Linked DNA regions of Lepisosteus oculatus. The protein of the gene in region 1 interacts with the protein of each later gene in a biochemical or structural test. Links are inferred from orthologs where the notes say so. Each region holds a gene or a part of one and is shown in the gene's direction. Other genes may lie near its edges.

The links.
Region 2: the proteins of rab11a (region 1) and rab11 family-interacting protein 4A form a complex in vitro, tested with the Homo sapiens proteins (2 studies listed by BioGRID, with this or other methods). The link is inferred for Lepisosteus oculatus from reciprocal best matches to the Homo sapiens genes RAB11A and RAB11FIP4.
Region 3: the proteins of rab11a (region 1) and rab11fip1a form a complex in vitro, tested with the Homo sapiens proteins (2 studies listed by BioGRID, with this or other methods). The link is inferred for Lepisosteus oculatus from reciprocal best matches to the Homo sapiens genes RAB11A and RAB11FIP1.

What each region holds. Positions count from the first base shown.
Region 1 is NC_090700.1:47,579,498-47,588,067, forward strand, and holds the start of rab11a (ras-related protein Rab-11A), read left to right. Parts: upstream 1-5,054; 5' UTR 5,055-5,086; coding exon 5,087-5,132; intron 5,133-8,570. UniProt on the Homo sapiens protein: The small GTPases Rab are key regulators of intracellular membrane trafficking, from the formation of transport vesicles to their fusion with membranes.
Region 2 is NC_090704.1:46,849,399-46,857,493, reverse strand, and holds the start of rab11 family-interacting protein 4A, read left to right. Parts: upstream 1-4,865; 5' UTR 4,866-5,129; coding exon 5,130-5,282; intron 5,283-8,095. Other genes in the region: coil (coilin), read left to right, coding at 1-39, 379-468, 826-873, 1,090-1,159, 1,768-1,859, 1,964-2,047. UniProt on the Homo sapiens protein: Acts as a regulator of endocytic traffic by participating in membrane delivery. Required for the abscission step in cytokinesis, possibly by acting as an 'address tag' delivering recycling endosome membranes to the cleavage furrow during late cytokinesis.
Region 3 is NC_090697.1:72,846,156-72,853,618, reverse strand, and holds the start of rab11fip1a (rab11 family-interacting protein 1), read left to right. Parts: upstream 1-3,938; 5' UTR 3,939-4,074; intron 4,075-4,080; exon of another isoform or gene 4,081-4,381; coding exon of another isoform or gene 4,382-4,521; intron 4,522-4,886; 5' UTR 4,887-5,083; coding exon 5,084-5,433; intron 5,434-7,463. UniProt on the Homo sapiens protein: A Rab11 effector protein involved in the endosomal recycling process. Also involved in controlling membrane trafficking along the phagocytic pathway and in phagocytosis. Interaction with RAB14 may function in the process of neurite formation.

The sequences.
Region 1 (8,570 bases):
CTGTACCCTGCCTTGCGCCTGTTGCTTGCCGAGATAGGCTCCAACTTCCCTGTGACTCCAAACCAGAATAAGCAATTAAGAAATGGATGGATCAAGGTTCTGTGGAGGAAATTTCCTCGAATTTAACAGCAATAGAAGAAAAAAGTATGTGCATTACCAGAGTACCGTGCCTCCCATTTGCTGTAGTAGAGTAATTATTGTCTACAGAAAATAATTTCCCCCTCAAGGCCCATCATTTTCACACTTTTAATATCTTCTGTAGCAGGTGGGATCTGGGATCGTGGCTTCCAATGTACTTTAGAAAATAACTTTTCCAAAGTCCGTTACTTTCCAAAGTCACGAAGAGAAATGTTCACACTAGAGAAGCGGCCTGTTTCTAGTGTCACTGAGCTCTCTCCCCCTCGCTCTCCGAAGAGCAAAATATACAAGTCCTTCACTCTCATAGATCTTCCTATCAGCATCCGCTGCAAAACTCTCCCTCTCCGAATATTTTGTCTGCTCTCTTCAGTTCTGTGAAGAAAAAGAACTGCTGTTTTTTCCTGGGTTTGAACAGAGGTGTCTTTGAAAAAGAGCTGTGAAATTGATTTAATTTACAACGATAGTACCACGCTTTAGATTACATCTCATTCACGGTGGGTTACTGTGTTTATGTACAAGATGGTGTGGACATTTTATGCAATATATACCCGGGATGGAGTGGTGGCTAAGGATCTGTGCCTATGGCTGGAAGGTTGCTGGTTCAAATGCTGCAGCTGGCAGTAGGGGCCCTTAACCCCAACTGCTCCAGGGGCACTGTACTGTACATGTGGACCCTGTGCTCTGACCCCAAGCTTTTGTCTGTGTCTCATAGAGAGCAATCCTAATGCAAGGAACTGTATATGGCTAATAAAGTAATCTTAACCTCTTACCTACCCTGTGTTGTTACCTGTTAAAATAAGTTATATCACCATTTAAAATAGCAAGTAAAAAATTAATTAGAAAATAGAGGATTTTTAAGCACTAACAACAGATGAGGAATATACAGATCATTAATCAAAAAATACTTTGCATCTCATGCAGCAGGAAAAGCACTGAACAATAAAAACTTCCATAGATTATTTCAATTGTTTTTAACCGCATCAGACAACTGAACCCACAACCCTGCTTTCTACAGTCATTTTTTTGTGATTAGCCCCAGTACCTGATATACCAGGCTGTGTTTTTAAGACACTGTAACATTTTCTATTCACGTACAATGACAACCGCAAGGACACATTTCCCACCCTTACAAATAGCTGACCTTATGTGTTGATCAAGTGTCACAACTTGGAAAGAAAGCGGCAAGTCTGCCACCTAGTGGACACGGACAATGTTGACAAAAGCAGCGCTCTTCTCAGCGTGAAGAAGCTGTAGAAAAGCGAAGAGTTCAGTGTGGGGCAGACTTCCAGTGATGGCGGCATCAGACAAGGTAGCACTCTCTATTCTTAAGTGAAATTATTGAGTTATAGCTCCCTTTGTACTTCTGATACTTGTATCAGAAGTACAAAGTTGGGTGATGAAATATTTCTACATACAAAAAACAACATGGACAAAAAAAAGGTAAATACAGACTTTAATATGGACATCACTGAAGCAAATATGCAATTTGTTCATCCACAGCTTAAAGGTTAATTTTGTTATTTGCAGTTTCCCCTCTGTTACGCCAGGGGGATAGCGAACCGAGACCCAAACCTGTCTTGACCTGCTCACACTGAATACTAATGTGCAGAAGCTGCCCACTGTATCCAGACTCCTTCAAACAAAACAGAGATCTACACCATTGGTGGCACTGAGCCAGTCCCCAGTTACATGCTTTCTGTGACCCCAACCCAGCTCACAAAGTCATAGTGATGTCTGCGCTGCAGTCTACCAGCTCGCTGTGCTCATCTCCGCAGGCCGGCACTCCATAAGTTCAAAACACGGTATCTCACAAACAACACACGCTACGTTCAAATCACGCGGAATCGTGATAGAGGCGGTTTCTGGCAGCGGTAAGTGAAATCATGCCTTGCCAGCTGTAAGGTTTCCTCAGCTTTACCTGAGTAAGACGACAGCCAACGGCAACCCTGAGGTGCTGGGAGCTGCTGTGTCTGTATGGCAGGCTGCACACACCCTGCGGCACCTGGGAGGTGACCTGCAAAACAAGGCCGTCTGGCCCATCGGGCTCCTGGGCTCGAAGCCTTTCCAGTGCCAGCCTGCGGCCGGGTCGAGAGCCCGCGGGTCCCGCGCCTCTGCCGGGAGCCCACGCGAGGCCGATGGCGCTGACCTGTGCCTCCAGCCAGCGGGGCGGGAGTGCTTGGAGAGGGCCAGGCTCTTGGCGGTACGGTCCTTCGCGGGCGCGGGAGAGGCAGACGGAAGGCCGGGCTGGCAGTCAGTGTCGCCCTCTCAGTCAGTGTGGCGCTGACGTGAGTGCCTGTCGCCTCTGCCCTCCAAACTCTTTTGTGGCCCCTGGCAGCTGGAGCCCACCTGTGGTGGGGGCCGGGCCTTCTGATATGACTGGTACTGAGTCCAAATTTCCCACTGCTGCTTGGCTTCCGTCTTACCCGCCCTTTGACCTTTGACCTGAACTGGCCAGGTGGGGTGGTAGAGCAGGAGAAGAACCTACAAGGAGAGACAAGGGCCTGTTTCATCAGCAGCTCACCGTCGCTTTCTCCCAGAAACGACACAGCCCCCACGCATGTCACATTGCAATGAGCCCCCCTGCCACACAGGTGGAGAGGTATTTATGACACGAGAGCGTCTAGGGTCTGGTGGCCGGCCCTGGGCATCAAGCCGTGACAGGAGCTCATGCAGAAGTCTGGTATTCACCCAGAGTTGAGAAGGTTAGTCTTAAAAAGATAACCCATTCCAAAGGCAAGTCAATTCTGCTTTTTAAAATTAACAAGATAGTGGAAGAGAAAAACTTTAAGATGTTGTCAGAGTCATCTATGAAGTGTGTGTACAGTTACTCTGCAAGCCAATCCATTCTTTCTTAAAAGCAATCTTCCTTCCTTTAACTTCTTAATTGAAAAAGTTATCCCTTTCTGAAGTACCTTATACAGTGTCTGAAACTGTCTCACTGACGTCTGGGACACTTCCTTTACGTTTAGGGTATCCTTACGTTGTAAGGCTCTGTATTCATTAATACAATCCTGTAAATTCTTCATAAATATTTATCATGATATGGCTATGTAGTCAGTTTTAGTACAACTTTTCTTTCGACTTCATTTGTGTCAGATTTTTTTTTTCACCGCTGGGTTGCGACCGGCGAACTTGAGAACTGACACGGACACAAAATCAGAATATTTTAGGGTCCAATGCTGTCGGAGCAAAAAATGCCGGATGGACGCCGCGTCTTGAAGAGTTTGCATTCCGTTACAGCAGTAACCATCCGGTCAGCACAGGGCAGTGTCACAGAAACCGCTGTGGCTACATAGAGAACTGTAACACACTCGGGTTATGCGCTGGGAACTTCAGGAACAACATCATAGTTAAGACTTTTCTAATGAAGTTTGAGGTTTCCGTGCCAATCTTACTACCGCCTCCTGCTGGATTCATACTTTTTATTTTATACAGGCCTGCTGTTCCTTCTTGCATTAATACAGACCGGGTCATCTTTACAGGCTCCTTGTAGAACTGCGTTCACAGCAGTCGGAGGTCTGTAAGCGTGTTAACCCGGTAGACAGTACAACGAGGACAGAAGACAACGTGAGGGAGTGCAATTAAAAACGGAAAAGACACAAGTTTTACAATCTAAAAGGGAGGATTCGTTCGCATTCCGCTGTTACATACAATGCAGCACCAGGACCGGCGCTACTTCCAGCTGACTGACTTTCTGCAGCTCGGTGTTTGCATCTCAGCGAACCGTCGGGCTGAAGCTAGACCCACCGGAACCCTCCGCTCGAACCCCGCCATCTTCGCACGGTGGGGCTCCCGTTTTTCCAGCCTGATTGGTGCAAAATGGAGTAGAGAGAACCTGCGCCCCCAGTCACAGCTACATCGCCTTTACTGCCATCTGTTGACACGATATTGAATTTACGCTCGTCCAGCAGTCAAGATAAATATATTCAATTTAAACGTTTTTATTTAACAATTTCGCGTATCCTCGATGTGTAAAACGAGGACAACATGCCAGCTATTTTGCTGTGCTGTTATTTAAACAAGTAGGGAAAAAAGTCAGGTTCCACCGAGATTTGAACTCGGATCGCTGGATTCAGAGTCCAGAGTGCTAACCATTACACCATGGAACCTCCTGTACGTAAACCCCCTTGCATGAGCCTAAAACAAGCTGGGCAATGACACCGTCGTTAATTCGTCGTTTTATCTGCCACATCTAGCAATGCACACACCAACGAGATTTACAAAGCACTCAGTAAATACCACTAAACGTTTATAAAGTTGAATCGTTTCAGTACGTATTCGTACGGGAGTATTAGACGTACATGATGCGGACCTGGCAATCTCAGAGAGCTGAATTCACTACATGTCTTCCCTGGCAGCAGATACATACAGTTGCATTAAGGTGCGCGTGTCACATTTGCAGGATGCAAAAACCTGTGTGTGCGTGTTCCTTTAATCAGGAGACACAATCAACGAAGAGATGGTAAACGGGATAGTACGAAATCTCGGGAACGCGGACCGTACCGCACTATCGAAGAGGCACACGCGCCCGGCAGCATTACGTCATAGACTCCAAGGAAACGCTGCGCTCATTTCGTTTAGACGCCTTTGTAGGTTTCAGTAAACCGGACCTGTATCAGAAGGACGTTTAAAGATCGTGGCCCAGAGAGGAGTGACTGCACATACCACCCACCTTTGGAACAGATATGCAATATTTAAGAAACAAATGTTGATCAATGGTGACCCCGCTGTGACCCCGGAAGTGCAGACTTCTTGACTCTTGCAGGTCTCGGGTGGTAATTTGGCTGGAGTGGGCAACACGGTGCGGCTGCCATCCCGTATTTTCATTCTCACTTGGCTCGATTTATTCTGGAATCAAGATGGGAACCCGAGACGACGAATATGACTATTTGTTCAAAGGTAAAGGGAGTGCTACAAAACATCGTTTTCTCTCATTCCGTAATGGTTGATGTTAGCCTGCGCGTTAGTAACATTAGCTGCACTGATCGCACACGGTAAGTGCTCGGCACTGGCTTCATCGGGCTTTTGTGAGGTACCCGAGATATCTGGTCTGCTGCTCTGTGAATAATATTACTATCCATTAAGACCGGGGGACTAATCGTCTGTGCCCGGGCTCTTTTTAGCACACGTATAGCAAAAACAGTCGCTACGGTTGAAAGTTGAGAAATCAAGGCGAAATTACGACATGTTGTTACACTACGTCCGGGGAGCAGAGTCCTAGGTTGCGGTACACCGAGAGGTACCTGAAACAACCTCTTCCCACCTGCCTCTGTCACAGCGGCTGCTGGACGGTAACCGCAGCTGGCGGCGCCATTTCACACCTTAATAATGTGCCCAGACCTGCTGCCTTCACATTGTAACGTGTAAGGAGAAATAAAAGCGTTTGAATACGCTGACAGGATGCTGAACTGCTCTGCTGCAATTAAGCTTTGATATCAGCTCCTTTATTTCTGAAACTGACACTGTTACAAGTTACTGTTTTTTTCTTTGGTGAAGGTTGAGATGTTCAAAGCGATTCGCGTAATTCGGTTTTTGTTTTACGGGGCGACCTCTGTACGTTGTTTTTTTTTTAAGATTCAAGACAGTGTCCGCCCGTCTGTACTCGTTTGTGCAATGTTAACTCGGTACGCCGCCTTAACCAAGACCATAAGACATATTGTAACTTGAGGTTGGTCGGGTTGTTCATGTACGATTGTGTATACTGTCCTTTTCTTCACTATTTACAACAAGACTCTTAAAATGCAAAGCGGCAGTCTTACTCTAGCGAGGAAGCAGAAACCGTTGCTCAATGACATTCTCTGAGAGACACGTAACAGGATTACTGGGTGTGTGTGTTTGTCCGGGACTCGCAGCGGATGAGTCAGGGACGGACATTTGACTGTCCAGGAATCCACTAGCCCAAGTGCGGAAGGAATGCGGACTCTCGGACACCCGCAGACGCTCATCGTTTAGTTTTAAAACGTTACTCACTGTCGTCACTGTGACCCCCTTTTTTGTGTGTGGGGGGGTGATTATCATTTCTTCATGCTCTCTGCCAAGTAGGCATCAATGCTTTAACAGTTTTACTTATTGTGTTTTCATCCGTTTGAAATCGAATACTCTGCCAATTGTTCGTGTTGACCTATGCCGTGGTTGTTTGTCCGAGGAGTTATTTTTGAGCTTAAGGTCTTGGAGTCAACCTCACTTGGAGGTTTGAAGTGAAGCCATTTCACGAGTCTTCCATCACCATAAATTGCAACAGTAGAATGACAACGATCTGTGTGTTTCCCCCCAATTTTTACTTAAGTCTTCACCTCCTCTGATATTTAACTGAAATATCAAGAATGAATTTCGCAACTTCTATATTCGATTAACCTGAGGGTGTAGAGTCTGTTGAAGAAACACAGGCAGCAGGCGGATACAGGCATCTCCCTGTTGATCACCTGCGTTCCACTGTAATGTGTCTTACAGTGATCCTGTGAGCCGGAGCTCGGTGACAACACAGACCTTCTGGAACCTGATAGGCAGTAAGTCCTGATCGTAATGGACAAATCCTAGATTCTTAAAAGAAAAACAACAAGAAACAGGAGAAAGGGGTTGCGGATGGGTTGATGTTTCCACAGCTTCGGAACAAAGGGGTTTATTCATTGTCAGGAAGTATTGCATTGCTCTGTGGAATGCTGTAGCCTGCAGGCTTTGTGTGCTTCAGTGCATCCACCCTGCTACTCAGGCATGAGAATCGCAAGCCATTGCAAACACAGATGCCGTTTGAAATAAGCTTGCATACAAACCCAAATCACTGTAGCATGCACATGTTCTTAGAAAACGTTCGGGGCCTCCGCAAGTCAGCTTTGGCTACTCCACAGGTCTGGCAGAGTCAACAACGGGTCCAAAGGGCTGCTCAGCTAAGTTGCAGCCAGGTCCCAGACTGGAGTGCACTCCCTGCAATTTTAGTCTGTCCCACATGCTGTACCTGCGTGTTTACTCTGAATGTGCACACCCTTCACTTCTGTTTAGCAGCTCTTAACTGCTGTTCACTAAGGTTTAGGTATTCACTTGCAGGACAGTAATAGTGTGTGTTTTAGCCTTGTGGAGTTACTGTACAACTGAAAGGTACTCTACCACTTGCTGAGATTGCTATTTGCTCTTACAGGTGTACTGAGGTTCTTATAGTGCAGTAAAAGCACTAGTGTGCATTTACAGTATCTAGGCTCTTTGTTTAGCAGAATTAAACAGGGCTGAGTTTAGTCTATTTACAGCTGTATCTGTACAACTTTAGAACAATACACAAAGGACTGTCACAGTGTGTTACTATCAGCAGCAGCTGAACTGCTGGGGTTTTATTCAATAGTGCAGTTTATATCGGGAAAGGGAAGTTGACACAAGGGAGCTCCTTGTTCTAGGTGTGTTTTTTGAAATTGCAACTTATGGTTCTTGGGCGCCACAAACAAACACAGCTCAGGCTCTGTCATGGATCCATCCATTGTAAGAAAGAAGCTTACAAGTCCTTGTAAAAGTCATTCAGGAAGCTGGGGCAGCCAGAAAGGACTGCATCCTGGCTGGGACATCAGTCCCCCGCAGGGCTCGTGCACAGGGCCTGTTTATCAACACTAGTTAACTTGGCCAACACATCTCTAGAGGGGAGGGGATACTACCCCCCCAAAGAGAGCCCATGTGGATAATCTGAGAACATGCAAACTCCACACAGATGGACCAGATCCGGGACCCCATGAGCTCTGAGACAGGAGTGCTGACTGCCACCCCATCCTGCCCAATTTCATTCAGTGTTTTTCAATTTAAAATTATTTTTATTGTTGTTCACATGGTGGGGATTACAAAGGTAATCAATGAACACAGCCAAGCATTTAGGTTTTGTTCTGATTTAGTAGGCTTAAGGTTTTAATCAAGCTTGCTAACCATGAAAAGGGGCTTAAGGAGGCATCTTCTAGAAATACAGGGAACATAGTCTGCTAGCCTTGCTAAATAATCTAGTCTACTTAATACTAAGGGATTTTAGCCTTCTACCTGGTAGAAACACTGCTACATTTCTCCAGCAGAGATCTCACGACCTACATAGCGTTCATGTCTTGCAAGAGAGGATTCCTCTTGTGATAAATCAAAGTCGTCCTCTCAGTGCGTGTCAGATGTCTGCATTGCTAGTTGCCTTGGATACATGAGTGCAGTCAAAGATATTGGGAGTGTATAAGGGTGCTGATATAGTCCACTGGTCTTGTTTTTGTTCAAAAACGAAAGCATGTTTTGCCATGTATTGAGTTTTAACATTTTTCATTTTTCATGGGACTGTTTTCTTAGCCGCGGAAACCTAAGTCTTAAGACTTCACATATTTAGAGATAGTTGCACATGCACAGAATACTCCAATAAGGTCAATCATGGGCTGAAAGTCCTTATCAGACGTACAGTACTTTGAAGTAGACTTGAATTACATTCTTTG
Region 2 (8,095 bases), on another chromosome or scaffold:
GACGGCGACGCCCTGACGAACTCGTCTGTGGTGCTGCAGGTGAGTCTGCACGCCGGGCGTCAGGACCCGGGCGGGGTCTGGAAGCCCAGCCCGGTCGTGTTGCGCAGGGAGGAAGGGTGGAGCTGTCGTGGGGAGGTAGGGAATGTGATTTTGTCGCGCACGACTCCTCTCCAGCTGTGACAGCTGACTAGCCCTGCTGTGATTAGGAGCTACAGTCCCAGCAGGAGCTTGGTGAGGTGGGAGAAGACTGGACTGTGAAGTGACCAAGGGGCAGGGAGGGGTCAGTCTCTGGAGATCGAGCAGAGCCGGGCTAGGGGTTGAATCCTGGTCCCGAGTCGATCCTGGGGAGTCACTCCGATGGGCTGTTGTGCTTTGCAGAACCCTGCTGCCGATGCCCCCAAGAGAGACTACAGTCTGCTGCCCCTGCTGGCCGCCCCTCCTGCTGTCGGACAGCTGATTGCCTTTAAGGTAAGACGGGGATTAAAAATAAACTACATTTTTAGTGGGTTGCCTTTTTCAAATTGGGGAATTGTTGATCCTCAAGAAAATGGGTCACTTCTGGATCCGGATGGCCGGGTCTATTCTCGTTCGAGTGGGGAATGAATTTGAGTAGTACGTTTTGAGGTTGAGAGTTGTGGGGAGAAACCTATCAGCCTAATCAGTCAGTGTTCATTATCTTCTCGCTCTGTGTACAAAGGTCAGAGGTTTTGGTTTAACCAGCTTTTAATTTTCCCTCCAAAGAGAGGTTTAAGACATGGCTCTGTGCAGAATGTACAGCCTCAGTGACACCTCCTGCTCCTCTCTCTCCATCTCCTTGAAACGCAGTTGCTGGAGCTGACTGAAAACTACTCGCCGGAGGTCTCCGACTACAAGGCAAGTCCCTGTTCTTGATGCAGGGCTTTAAGAGGAAGGTGGTGGGGTCCACATGCTGGTCTGGGGAGAGCGGTTCTGCGATTGAGCTCGGATGCTCCTGCCTGTGGTTATGGAAATTGTGCAGAACCCCTGAAATCTGAGCTTAACGTCTCGACGGTCCCAGTTTCTAACCGTCTGCTCATCCTGCCATCTTCCTGCCTGTCCTTGCCCCCTCAGGAGGGGAGGATCGTCGGCTTCGACCAGAGCACCAGGCAGCTGGAGCTGGAGCTGCTGTCGTCCGCCCCAGGTACCGCGTGACTGAGCTGGGACAGCCCGCTCCAGCAGAACCGATCCTGGGCTTTCTCTTTCAGGTTCCTCTGGGGAGGTGCGAGACGGACATGGGCCGGGGAACCTGCAGTGTTACAACACTAGAACAGGAAGTGAAGACGGGGTCTGAGCGCTGCAGTCTTGGGGGGGGGGGGGGCTCTTGAAGGGTCTCGGGTTGAAAACTGATTTTCCTCCTGAGGCTTTGCATTGTGCTTCAGCTGGCTGAGAGGAGCGAAGGACTGGAATTTGTACTGTGGGGCTGCAGTCTGATCATTGTCGGGTGCCGTTGTCCTGAGGAAACAGAGAAGTGGATCTGTGCCTATTTATCGTCATGCCTCCGTTAGTTGAAGTTTAGGTGGCAGGTGGTGCTACGTGCTAGAGCCAACAGCTGTGAACATCTGGAGTGGCTCAGTTGCGTGCAGTACAAGCAGCCTGCCGGAGTTGGGGGGCCTGGGGATTTGCACTGGGGGTGCAGACGGGTTTGGTTAGTCCTCCCCCACTCCTCGCCAGAACCTGTTCTCCTAAAGCTGCCGTCTCGTTGGCGGTTGAGCTGTTTGGGTTTTAACTGGTGTCACCCTGGCTTCCCAGCAGCCCCAGCCGAGCCGGGGAAGTTCGATCTGGTGTACCACACGCCCGACGGCGCCGAGATCGTGGAGTACGCCGTCTCGCGGGGCTCTAAGGTAACCGCCGGTGTTATGGCCGCGTGATCATGGCGGGGGGCGCGGGGGGGCGGGGGTCCCCCCTGTGGGCGTGCCGCGTGACTGAGCCCTGCGGTGTCTTGCAGCTGACGGAGCGCTGGGACTCTCTGCTGGAGCCGCGGCTGATCGTGGACGGCGCAGAGGGAGGCCTGGCCGGCGCCGCAGACTGACCAGGAGTCCGGGCCGCGACGCCGCTCGCCTCGAGGAAACTCCCTTTTAGGACTTTTTTTTTTTAATACTGTGAACTGGTTTATAGCGGCTCTTACTGCAATAAGAGTGCTTTTTTGTATAAAGTTACAATTGAGCAAGTTTTAGTTAATAAATGTTCCTTTTCAAAGCTACCCTGTAGCAGCTGGGCTCCTGGTGGCCGTGTCTCGGCAAGGCGGGGTGTAGTTCCCCTTTCCTGCCAGCAGGGGGCGCTTTGGGGAGCGTTTGTGCTAAAAGCGGAGTGAGGGCTGTAAAGAACAGGCAGGCTGCAGGAAACATAGCGAAAGCAGTGGGAGGTCTGCGCCCGAGCCCTGCGTGTGCTCGGCTCCGGTAGGACAGGACAGGACTGGCCTGCAGTGCTGATGCTACACTGGGGCCAGAATGAGCTCAGTGGAGTCCCTGCGCTACCAGGGGCTTGTAGTGGGGCCTGGGTGCTTTGCTGTGTGACCGTGTGTGTGTGTGGGGAGGAGTTCGGGATGTCTCTGCGGCTCGCGGGCAGCCGGTAGTTGCCCTGGTGCTGTCCTGTTCCTCTCCCCTCCCGCTGTTCTGCACGTAGCGCTGCGCTCAGACTCGGTTGCACCACCAGACTCCTTCGTTCACTCTGATCCCTCTGCAGGCCGCTATTCCCTCCGTTTTTGTGTGGATACAGGGGTCTCCCCGCCTGCTCCCGGGGAGCCCCACGCCTGCCCGTTCTCACCCCGACCGCTGGAGAAGCCGGTGCAGTGGAAGTGTTTTACTTTCCCCCTGCTGGGTATGAAACTAGTTCAAGGGCCGGCTGGGTGTTAGGGCTGTGGGCAGGACGGGGGAGGTTCGAAGACGCTCTGGGCGGGGGGGGGCCTTCACACTCTCGGTCTTCGGCGCAGCCTGAAACCCTGAAGCAGCATCGCAAACACGGGGAACACGCTCCGCCTTCACAACCCGGCTGTGTGGCTGCTCCCGGGGGGGGTGTGGTTGTGGAGGAGAGAGTCAGGAGAATGGGCCGTGTGTGTGGGGGGTACAGGGTGGAGGTGAGAGGTGTGTGTGTGGGGGTACAGGGTGGAGGTGAGAGGTGTGTGTGTGGGGGTACAGGGTGGAGGTGAGAGGTGTGTGTGTGGGGGTACAGGGTGGAGGTGAGAGGTGTGTGTGTGTGTGGGGGTACAGGGTGGAGGTGAGAGGTGTGTGTGTGTGTGTGGGGGTACAGGGTGGAGGTGAGAGGTGTGTGTGTGTGTGGGGGTACAGGGTGGAGGTGAGAGGTGTGTGTGTGTGTGGGGGTACAGGGTGGAGGTGAGAGGTGTGTGTGTGTGTGTGGGGGTACAGGGTGGAGGTGAGAGGTGTGTGTGTGTGTGGGGGTACAGGGTGGAGGTGAGAGGTGTGTGTGTGTGTGGGGGTACAGGGTGGAGGTGAGAGGTGTGTGTGTGTGTGGGGGTACAGGGTGGAGGTGAGAGGTGTGTGTGTGTGTGGGGGTACAGGGTGGAGGTGAGAGGTGTGTGTGTGGGGGTACAGGGTGGAGGTGAGAGGTGTGTGTGTGTGGGGGTACAGGGTGGAGGTGAGAGGTGTGTGTGTGTGGGGGTACAGGGTGGAGGTGAGAGGTGTGTGTGTGTGGGGGTGCAGTGTGGAGGTGAGAGGTGTGTGTGTGGGGGTGCAGTGTGGAGGTGAGAGGTGTGTGTGTGGGGGTACAGTGTGGAGGTGAGAGGTGTGTGGGGGTACAGTGTGGAGGAGAGAGGCAGGAGACCAGGCTGTGTGTGTGGGGGGGTACAGTGTGAAGGTGAGAGGTCTGTGGGGGTACAGTGTGGAGGAGAGAGGCAGGAGACCAGGCTGTGTGTGTGGGGGTACAGTGTGAAGGTGAGAGGTGTGTGGGGGTACAGTGTGGAGGACAACCGGGGCTCCCGCCTCATGTTTCAGCCGCTAATGGAAACACTCGCTGCTCTGATGCGCCGACCGCACGCTTGCTGAGCCTTAAATCATGAAAGTTCAGTGCTTCTTTCTGGCTTGCTGGCCTTCTGCGTTGCAATAAAAAGGAAAGATCACGCTGTGGAGGCGAGTCCTGGCGCGGGGTTAGTCCTGGGTCCAGTTTTTTTTTTCCGTGAGATGTAACTAAAACACCCCCGCGCACACACACGCACAAATAATTGAAAGACCAGGCGTGAATTTCTGTTCTAATAGACAATGCAAAAATGGGATCTGTGAAACACCGCGATCTTAACTCCAGCAAAATCAGGTTTAATTTGTTTTTTTTGTGTGGTCGATGTAACCAGCTTTTACCGGGACCGAACTGAAGTCCGGCAATCGGCTGCTACTGCCACACGCAGCTGGTCCAGCAGGGATGGACAGGTCAGTGTGTCCAGTCGGAGGTCTGGCCTTGAAGGGCAGGTTTCGCCTGTCCGTCCTGGAGAGATTTGTACGTCTCGCAAGTTTGCTGCATAAACCATCTTGCAGAACGTGTGAGGACTGAGTTACAGTCCACTATACACTAGAGATATTCTTTTGTTCAGCGTGGGCAGCTTGCAAGGGCGTCCCCTGGAGGGGACAGCAGCAGGTCCTGGGTGTGGATTTCCGGTCTGTCCGCGTCCCCTCTCGGCAGGACGCGCCGCAGGTCGAGGTTTGGCCAAATTCGCGCGTTTCGGAGGAAAGTCGCACCTGAGCTCTTCGGCTCTTCAGGTGAGCGCACAGCCGGGTCAGTCTGGGAGAGTACGGGAACGCAAACACAGTCCTGATTCCGAATACACCCCCCACCACCCCAGAAACCGACTCGACGTGACGTCCCGTGGGGGGGGGGGTGTTTGTTTTTTTTTGGAAGCGTTCCATCAGTCTCAGTCTCCGTCTCCCCGCCCAGCGCCTCAGCCCTCGTCCCTCCCCGCTCCCTCCCTCCCTCTCCCCGCCGCCAGCGGAGCTCCCCGGCCCGGTGAGGCTGTGATGTCACAGCCGGGCTGCTTTCCAGCGGAGTCGAGGAGGAGGACGGTCATGGTGCCGGCAGCTCGGGTCCTGCCGCCGGCTTCCCGCTAGACCCCCCCAGTGCCGCCGACCCGGCGCCCCGGGATCCGGGAGAAAGCCCCCCGTTTCTGGAGGATGGACGGGCAGGGCAGCGCCGAGCAGGAGCAGCTGCTGCGCTTCTTGAAGAAGCTGAAGGAGGTGTTCGACGTCTGCGACCAGGATGCAGCCGGATATATTCGGGTCGAGCATTTCGTTCACCTGGGCTTACAGTTCGGGCAGGGAGACGAGGTGAGGCGCCTCGCCAGGGGCAGGGAACAAACCGACAGCAAATGTACGCTTCGGATGCGTTTTATTTTTCAATTGCACATCCTTGTTTTCCCAAGAAAACAGCCGACGTCACACTCCATCAATAATGTACGGAATAGTGAGGGGTTATTGCCAGCCGGTTGTGGGGGCGAACAGAAAAACCTTATTATATCAGGATGTATACAAAAAACACGGGGAATTGTGAAATCTGAGACCGAGGTCGTCGGCCTGTTTTGAGCCGGGCTGAAATGTTTTGATTCTTGTTATTGACTGACGTCTCTCAAGTTCATTCGCGGACGCTTTGTCTAGGACCTTCGGTTGGAAATATTACACTTTTTAAAATAAATAACGGTGTTATTTATTTTGTGTAGCCTGTAGTACAGGTGTAGATTTAGCGACTTCACTCTGTTTAACTGAAAATCTATACATACACAGGGTTATAAATAATTCAAACCAGGGTAAGGACATTCCCTAAGGTGTTTCTGTTTGCGTGCCTAGTCTTGCGGTCGTTTTTTTTTTCTTGTAATGGTCTATTTATGTATTTATTTATCGATTCCTTTAATATTGTAACTGGGCTCCACGCCGGGGCGGAGATCGCCCACCGGTTGCCATGGATACAGACCCGCTGCCCGCAAGGCTGCGTGGAGCGCGCATGGGATCTCGTGCCTGGTGCCTCGCGCCTCGCGCCTCCTTGAACTGGCAGCGCGTGGCGTCGCGCGGTCTTCGGTGACGACAAGCGTCCGTCTCCCCTGATCTGAGAGTGTTGTGAATCCGGAATAAAAGTCCTTGAGAATCGGGAGTATTGCAGCCCTCCAAGATCAAGGGTAGAGCGCCGTGCTGTTTAAGGCTTTGTGGTCACTGGCAATCAATATTGCAACATGCAGAAAATAGACCTGTCTGCCATTATGACATGCTGCATTAATCATATGTTTATTTTTCATTAATATATGTAGTATGAGTATTTCCAGTATTTTACATAGACATTTCAGAAGGTGTAGTGGCATGCTCTATATAGACGGATGTAACATAAGCTGTACTGAAATGGGTTACAATCTCAGGGGTTGGGGGGGTGTTTTGCATTGTAAATAAACACCATTGTGATCAATCAGCCCACATTACTGTCCCAAAGAGACTAACCTGTGGTGTTGGTTCCACACTGACTGATAGATGATCTTCTCCTTTGTTGTTCACCTTGCTACCCCGACAGCTGAATGCATGTGAAGGAGAGGGGATGAGCAGTGAGTCTGGACAGAAGCTGCTCTCTGTTATATATGCACTCCCTTCCCCTGACCTGGTGTGTTGATTTCCAGTTCCGAAACGAAGGAAAAAAATCATCACTTTTACAGCAGTTGCTTTAAGTGCATTCTCAAGGATTTACTGCACTTCAGCTGCTCTGAGCTCTGCTTCGCCACGGTGCCAGGGCTTGGCCACGCCCCTCTCTGCTTCCCCATGGTGCCAGGGCTTGGCCACGCCCCTCTCTGCTTCCCCACGGTGCCAGGGCTTGGCCACGCCCCTCTCTGCTTCCCCATGGTGCACATGCTTGGCCACGCCCCTCTCTGCTTCGCCATGGTGCCAGGGCTTGGCCACGCCCCTCTCTGCTTCCCCATGGTGCCAGGGCTTTGCCACGCCCCTCTCTGCTTCCCCATGCTGCCAGGGCTTGGCCACGCCCCTCTCTGCTTCCCCATGCTGCCAGGGCTTGGCCACGCCCCTCTCTGCTTCCCCATGCTGCCAGGGCTTGGCCACGCCCCTCTCTGCTTCCCCATGGTGCCCATGCTTGGCCACACCCCTCTCTTCTCTGCCTTGTAATTCATTGCATCTATATAGCACCTTTCATCCCAGTGAACCTCAAAACTCTTCACATGTGTGGTGCCACTTCACTGACCACTGAAGTGCACCTGGAGGACGAGTTACCTCGAGTGACTGCAGTAAGCTTCCTGTCATGGCATCAGGCTGCACAGGTGTCTGTGTGGCGTTGGCGCAGCTGGCAGCTGTGCCCTGGTTCTGTACCCTTTCCCAGAAGGAGCGTGAGCGTGCTCGTTACTCCGGCAGGGAGGAGGATTATGAAACGCGGGTAGGTGGCTCTGCTCTCTGCCTGCGTGGGCAGGTCCATTTACAAGAGCACTTTCCTTCAGCTCAGCTGTTCAGTTACAGGATGCTAAAAGGATCCCGAGGAGCTGAATAACCTTCAGCTTGCAGGGACAAGACAAGCTGTGCAATGCTTTATGAAAGCACTGTGCAGTATTTGACACTCAGTGTAGCAGTAATGCACTATTTCAGGAAAACGTGGGTTTTGGTGTTTTTGTTTTTCAGAGATAATGTAGTTAAATATGTGCTCTTGCTTGCTACAAAACACAATGATTTTTCGTAAAACTCTTACCAGGATCTCTGGGAAGGGAAGGCAGTCAAGTTAATGACTGCTTGTGCTGCACACATAGCTGGAGAGTGTGAAATACAGTAGCACTGTCCCTGCTATCCTCTGTGTGCTTCCTGTGGTGAATGTTCTCATGTTGTGATAGACTGACCTGCCCTGACAGTGACCCTGCCCTTCATCTGTCTTTGACCCTGACCTGACAGTGACCTTGCCTTTGCTCTGACCTCTGACCCTGCCCTTGCTCTGTCTCTGACCCTGCCCTTGCTCTGACCTCTGACCCTGACCAGCGTTATCTGTGCTGAAGCTCAGATCCATACAGAATTCCCGCTGCCTCCTGGACGGATAGTTTTGGTCCACAAGAAAATCTCCAGGAAAAGAGAAAATAATTCCTGACTGTTTTTATCTCTCTGGACCTGTAAGCTGT
Region 3 (7,463 bases), on another chromosome or scaffold:
CCTCCAGAAAGTTTCAGGATTTAAATTTGACACTGGCAGATGTCTCCAAGATTGTACAGAATATTGGCCAAGGTCTCAGTTACATCATTGATCCAGCAACAAATATTTAAAGTTCTACCAAGATGTTTTACATTGGATGATATATAATACAGCCTTGATCCAGTTTTTCAGTATCTGCAGCCCCCTGGCTCTGAGTTTCAAACCCTCGATTTAAAGTATTTAAAAATTAACAACTATAGAAGGAAGAGTACACGTCATTATAATGGAGGATTCAGGTTTCATTTAATTTGTTTTACTTCAGCTCTCATTTCATTAAAGCCACAGAGTTATGTTATTGAACTGCTTTATGAGCTCTTAACTGAAAACTCAACAAAAAAAAGGAAAATTTAACCGACCATAAAATTGAAAAATCTATGGTTTTGTAGTTCTCATTTCTGGGTGAACAGGGGGAGATTTCAAGATTAAAGTGCGTATTTATATTTTTTACCTGAAGACAATTCATTATGTATATTAATAATAAAGCATTTTTATATAATATATTTCTTCTAGAATCCGGACAGTGCCTTATAAAAGATTTGCTTTGTCGGTTGTTTATTTCAAAATAAAGATTTTTTTAAGCTATGTATGCATTGTGTCACTGAGAAACTTCCTCCCTCCCATCTTTTGTTTATTCTAAATGTTTTTTAAAAAGCAATACTTGAAAATGAGCACAGATTCTTGAATTCCACAACATAAGGCGGGCTAGAATGTTAGGTTGTATGTTTTGAACAATTCGCTCTTTCCCCGCTATCAGTGGGAACCTCCCCCTGCTGTAAACAGACGAAACAGCTCCTAATAAGGACCTGCTCTTAGCAGCAGCAGCGCTCAAAGCCTCTACCGTCTGTCCGTGGCACCACAGATCCTAGACGTTTAATGTTCCATATAAATTAAATCAAGATAAGCCCGTAATGTCAGGACAGCTAGTGTGAGGGTCCCAGCGTAGCGCCAACATCTGTTGAGCTATAGGACCAACCCCACAGACCCCCTTCTGTCACAGACAGAAGTCAAGACCACAATTATCATTTAGTAAGACAAAAGACCAAATTAATAAGGAGCCTCCTTATTTTAAGAACACTGGACAAACCAGAAAATAAAATGTCAAAACTCATCCACATCCGGGCACGTCCAGAACAGAATACAAAACGGGCCCACGGCGCCCCCTAGGAAAGCATCCCATTGAAATTGTGAAGTGTTTGCTGCGCTATGTAGGAAATGTACTTTTCGATGTATCGATACAATGCAATTAATCGTGTATGTACTGATTTCCTCATTTAGAGAAGGGCGCAATTAGTAATTTGATTCTTGACAAGACCGTATCAATTAAAGATGAACGACACTGCAATTAAAACCGAAATACCGTTTTAATCAAAGTTTAGAACCACCCCCCCCCATCGGAATTAAAAACTCACTGAACGTTAATTTTGTATTAAAAGCTAAGCATAGCCTGGAAGGGCGTAGATGTACGTATGTGAGTGCTGGGGAATAATACTACGGCGAAAGTTTCACCTTTTGGGATTTTGTGCAGTGCTTGTAGGTCCGGCTAGATTTTTAATTGAAAGGTCAGTCACAATTGTATAACCACTTACATCCTGAAACACATATTTTTTTTTTTACCCTGGCCCCATTGAGTTGCATAAAAGCGTGAAAAAAGGCACATAATTTGTCAATTGTATTTGCCTTTCGCGGTAACGACCACTTTTTCACCATTTAAGGCCGTATATAGAATCTGACACGAAGGACAGAAGATGGCGCTGGTGTCTCAAAATTGCGGGCAGTCGGTTCCCTTCATGATGTGTGGTTCACCGTGACTAAAAAAATCTGAAATCTTATTTTAGTGGTTTTATTTGCTGTGCTTTTTTGTTGTAGACAAAAAAAAGGCAATAGTAAAAAAAAGTTAAGAAAGCGTGTTATTTTTAGCAAGATCGTGCGGCTTCGTCTGGGGGTGATGGCGTTTCTTGAATTTACGATGGTAACGTATTGACCAAGCGACTTTATGTGAATGGAGAGCAGTTATTCCCTGACTCGATCTTTCTGCTGGCCGGGTCACAAAAAAAAAAAGAATAAGCTCAGGACTCATTATGTTCGTCCTAAATAAAAACTACAGCATTTCACAGTCACAGGACAGTGTGTCTTTCCACCTTAATAGGAGCCGCTCGACTGTCCAGTGAGAGCGCTTGTCTTTCAGAAATGATAAATTGCAATTTAATCTCTTACTACTTTTTAAATGCTTGTCGTTTTATTTATTTAACCACGTAAATCGAATGAGAGCAAGCAATAATAACTTGGACAGCATCCATGGTTTCAGCAGAAAAGTTACCGGGACAAATTGAGTGCGCTAATGGTCAAGGTGTGCCGACAGCTCTGTGCTCCCGTATCTTGAACCCAGGATACTCCATAAGGATAGCCTTCATCCATCCCTGTACCTTGAACAGTCACTCACAGACTCTCTCACTCCCTTTGGAAATTTCAGTGGAATGTATAGTACACAATACCTAGGACTAAATCTGAGACTTTTGGTGCCTATGTCTTTTCCGTCGCTGTTCCTTTGTTATTTAATATTTCCTCTAACTCCTGCAGAGACAAATTCTTTGACTGTTTCAAATCTAAACTCAAAACTCACGTTTTTACTAGGACCTATGTCTGATTGCCCTACATTCTATTATATCCTGTATTTAATTCTATTATTATAGATATTATACGAAACCAAAATTAACTAATAATAAATCAGGTGGGCAGCTGCGTCAGCATGCGTAGGCTGCAAAGGGACAATAGGTTTATTCCATGCTGAAAAGAGAAGAAAGAAAACGCAATGTTTCGGCCGTGGAGTCTTCTTCAGGTGTGAGAGAGACAGGGCAGTAGGCAAAGGTAGTGTAGTGGGAGAACAAAGGCTGGGAGGGAGCAGGGGACAGAAATCAAGAGGTGTGAAGTCAGGATAGGTGTCGAGAGGTGTGAAATGAAACTTCCAATGAATGGAGAAAATGTAGTAGAATAGTAGTCTGTCGTTAAGAGAAGGCGGAAGGTGTGATCCTAGCTGCAGGATAAGTTTGGTTTCGGTGGTCTTTCTGATGTATGAGTTCGGAAAACCGTCTTTGAGAACACAGACGGAGGGATTAGAGTGGTCGTGGCCATCAGAGGTGAAATGAGAAACAATGGGCTTGGAGAGATCTTTAATCTTCACAGCCCTGACGTGTTCTCTGAAGCGGTCTCCGAGTCTCCTTCCTGTTTCTCCAATGTAGATGGCTGGACATTTACTGCAAGAGATACAGTAAAAAAAGTTGCTGGAGGTACAAGATGCCATCTGGGTGATCCGGAATTGTCCTGAGGGGCCTTGAATGAGTGTGGTGTTGGATGTGTACTTGCAGGTGATACAGCGAGCTCTGTTCACCTGAACTACTATACTGGAATGTTAGGGCCCACACAGACCGCAGAGTGAGCGCCCCCTACTGCCCCCACTAACACCTCTTTCAGTAGCAACCTTAGTTTTTCCACCTTTAGTTTTTTGCTGCTTGAATACAGCGATTAAATCGACAATACGCCAACTCATTTTACAAACAAGCCTGTTTCCTAAGCAGATACGCGTCGAAATGAATGGTTGACATATTTCTCTATATTTTCCTAACAGTATTTATGATTATATAATTTCAGTGCAGATTATAATTATAGACTTACATCCACGCTTTACCTGTACCGTAATGCTTGTCATCGTGTTTAATCTCTTTAACAATTATGTTTGTGCAAACTTATCACTTTAGTTTTTTTTTACACTCAGTTGCATTTCTTTAAACCCGAATGGAACTTCGCTTTTAAACACGCAGGTCATTGTGTTACAATGACGTAATGCCTGTTGCCGAGCAATTTGATCCCTGATCTTTACCTGCTCCGGACAATAGCAACCTGTTGTAGAGCATTTCCACCAATCACAGAAGGAAAAGGTTTGATTGATCGGTAATTGGCCAATAAGCAACTTCGTATTGGGCAGATGGACGGGAGAAGGTCGAGGTGGTGCGTGATGAAGGAGGAAGTTTAGTATTGACTGTGAGTTAATAAAACAAGAGGTAGCACTCGAATTACTGAGACTAAGGCGAAATGCGATAACTGAAAGGAGCCGGTATTCTAAAAATGTCAATATTTTTTTTTAAAGCCGGAATGAAAAGACCTGCTTTCTAATGAAATGTTGTGGGCAGCGAATGGTAACTATCGATGAAACGACTCTCGTTGAATAAGCTGTACACATGGTAACTTTAGCAGCTGTGGACTGATGACCTGAGTTTGCTTAAGGTAGCAGTTTCGGTAAAAAAAAACCCGTTTAATTAATAAATCCTACTTACAAGAACGAACGTGGATGCGAAGCGGGTTACAGGCGGCAGTTGCGGAGGCTGGACATATATCGTGTAGCAACTGTTATTACCACGAATGTGTTTATGACGAGTATAGACTTTCCCAGGAAAAGAAAAAGACGACCCCGGATAATTTCCTTCGAAGGTAATGCTGTTTGTTAGGAAAAAAAGTTGACAAAAAGAAATTTCGGGCTTTGAAATTCGCTTATAGCAACGCGCTAGTGAAAAGTCCTTTGGGGCTTTACACGACAAAACGCAGAAAATAGACGAGTCGGTCGGTGCGGTACTGAACAAGTGCGCGGTGTGGCGTACGTTAAAAATATTCAAAGGTGCGAGGGCGACAAAATATTCAACATATTTTTAGATAGTGACTTTTACGTAAACTGCTCCAAGGAGGAGTGTTTTATGATAAGGTCACGTCATTGGTGTCGCTGAGGAATTTCAAGATTAAGCATTCCAGTTCGTGGTGTTTTCAAAACACTACAGCTAACGTTATCGCATTTTTTTAAGGAGTGGCAAAGGGTTGTGAAACATCCCAAGCCGTGCCAACTACAGACTTCGTTTGCGACTCGAGACAGAGAGAGGACCAGCTCGCTTTGGCACGGACACGGCGATACCTAGAAACTCGGGACAGTTCCCTTTGAAGTGCCCTCCGTTCAGCCTCTTCTAGCGACAGGTTTCGTTCGCCCGACCCCCGGACACGGGCCATGTCTCTGGCGGAGCAGAGCCAGCAGTGGTACCCCACCACCGTGCAGGTGACGGTGCTGCAGGCCAGGAACCTCAAAGCCAAGGGCAAGAATGGCACCAACGACGCCTACGCCATTATCCAGCTGGCCAAGGAGAAGTACTCCACCTCGGTGGTGGAGAAATCGCCGATGCCGGTGTGGAAGGAGGAAGCCACCTTCGACTTGCCCATGTTCCACCAGGGCAACGAGCAGCGATGCACCCTGTACATCGTCGTCATGCACCGGGCTCTGGTGGGGCTGGACCAGTTCCTGGGGCAGGCGGTCATCAACCTCGTGGAGCTGCAGGAGAACAAAAACCGCAACAGGACTGAGTAAGTCTCCAGACTGTTTCGGTTCAGGTGTTCCTGCTGGTCTAGCCAGCCTAAAGAAGTGTCTCCAGAGTTCTTGGATCAAATCTGAAACTCTTGCCCTCTTCTCCATGCCGACAAGTGCATCTTGCTGGGGAGTTGAACTCTGTGCTTTCAGAACATGGAAAACAGCCTGATTTTTTTCTCCCTCTCCTTTCTGTTGTCTGCCAAGCCCGTGCAAAAAGTTGCAATCTGTCCGGTATAGAAATCCTTTTTACCTTTGTTCTCACAGCTGGTCTCTCTTCACATTTCTAAGAACTTTAACTGCTGTAGTTTTTTTTTTTTTTGCCGGTTACTTGCCTTAAGTCCTGAAGTGTCCCTCCTCACTTTCTGGGAAATAGAAATGTGTAAAGTGAAGAAGAGATGTCTGTTCCCCTACGGCGAAAGAACTTTCTTTTGTATCCCAAAAGAAAAGCAAGTTGTACTTATTTTGAGAACTCATGAGTAAAAGGAATTTGTTAGCCCTTTTCGGAATACATAAGTAAAAGATTTATTTAATTGATTTAAAGACTGTAAATTGAGGAATTGGCTTGATTTCAGTTTTCCAACTGAAAGTAGTATGTACCTGTTAGATTGAAACTGGCTGTCCACAAGTATGTTATTTATATAAAGGAACTTAAACTTTTTCATTTACTAGTTGTTCGTGAAGGTAAATTGTATAATGCAAAAATAGAGTTCTTTAAGAATTTGTTTTTATGCCGCAATACGTGAGAGGATATATATTATGTTAGCGTTCATAATCCTTGCTGTTTTGCTTGTCTTTTCTTCAATTGTAGTATGCACAGTACTGTGGTGTGCCTGTGGAATCCATGAAGCGTTTGAGCAGTTCTAAGAAATGTTCCTTGCATATTCCTAAACTGTGCCATCAGACATTAGCCTTCCTTCCAAGAAAGGTCATCTTCAGTGGGAGTGGGTGGAAGAGCTATGAATATTTGAAAAGGCAAATATAAACAGAGGGGAGGTCCATTTTTATTGTGTTAATTACCAGTAATTGGAAAAGGGCCCCCACCTCTTTTAATCTGATTATAGTTTCGACAGTACTCGGCGGCATGACAGTGACTTGACAAGCTACAGAAGCTAGAGTCGTCCCCTAGTGTGAAAACTTCCTTATCGCTCACTGTTGTTTGATTGTTTTCTACACCCATTACTCCTGCTTTATTTGCATTGTAAAGTTTTTAAACCTTTTTCCGCCCAGTCCTGCTTTGGGGGATGAACCCATGACAATGCCAAAGAAACGACTTGGGGACTAGCATTAAATGTTAAAGCGTTTTGCTTTTGGTGCTGGTGATTAGCTACTCCCACGAAGATATTGTGAGAGAATGGCAGCAGCTAGCCAGCCATGTTGTTGAAGCCAATACCCTGATATCAACCTTATTTTTCACTAAATGGCTGGCTGAGATCCTGTGATCAATTAATTGCTTTGTACCAAAATGGCTAGATGTTCTAAGTGGCCTCCTTTCATTCTCATGTTTTTAAGCTCGGATGTGGACTTTGCTTCAAAACATCAGAACTGCTGGAGAAAATGGTGTTTGTCTCTGCAGATGGTGGGGAGTGGTGTGACCTCAAACCCCAGTCTAGCTGAGGGAATATTTTGTTGTTTTAATGTAGTATCACGTTTCCATTCAAAGTCTAAGATAGACCTGCTGTTATAAATATGGATTCTAAATATTTCTCCTTCATTTTTATCAGCAATTATTGTTCCCTCAGTTAATGCAGTTGGCTTTACTCTACATATGGAGATATCTCCTCTTATTCAGGCTATTACATTTTTTTTACCTTCAAAGCATTTCTTTATATTAATGGTGTGTATTTCTCCTCCTTAAACTCGTTCCTAGACTGTGAGTCTAATGGAAAAATGCAAGTTGTAAAAATATCTTCCTCAGTGGGTGTGATTTGAGTGTATTGCCAAACCTCAGTATTACTCATTATGTCAGTATCGATGGAAAAGCAGACTCGTTGTTCTTATTTTAACATGAGTTGCTGGGTCATTCACT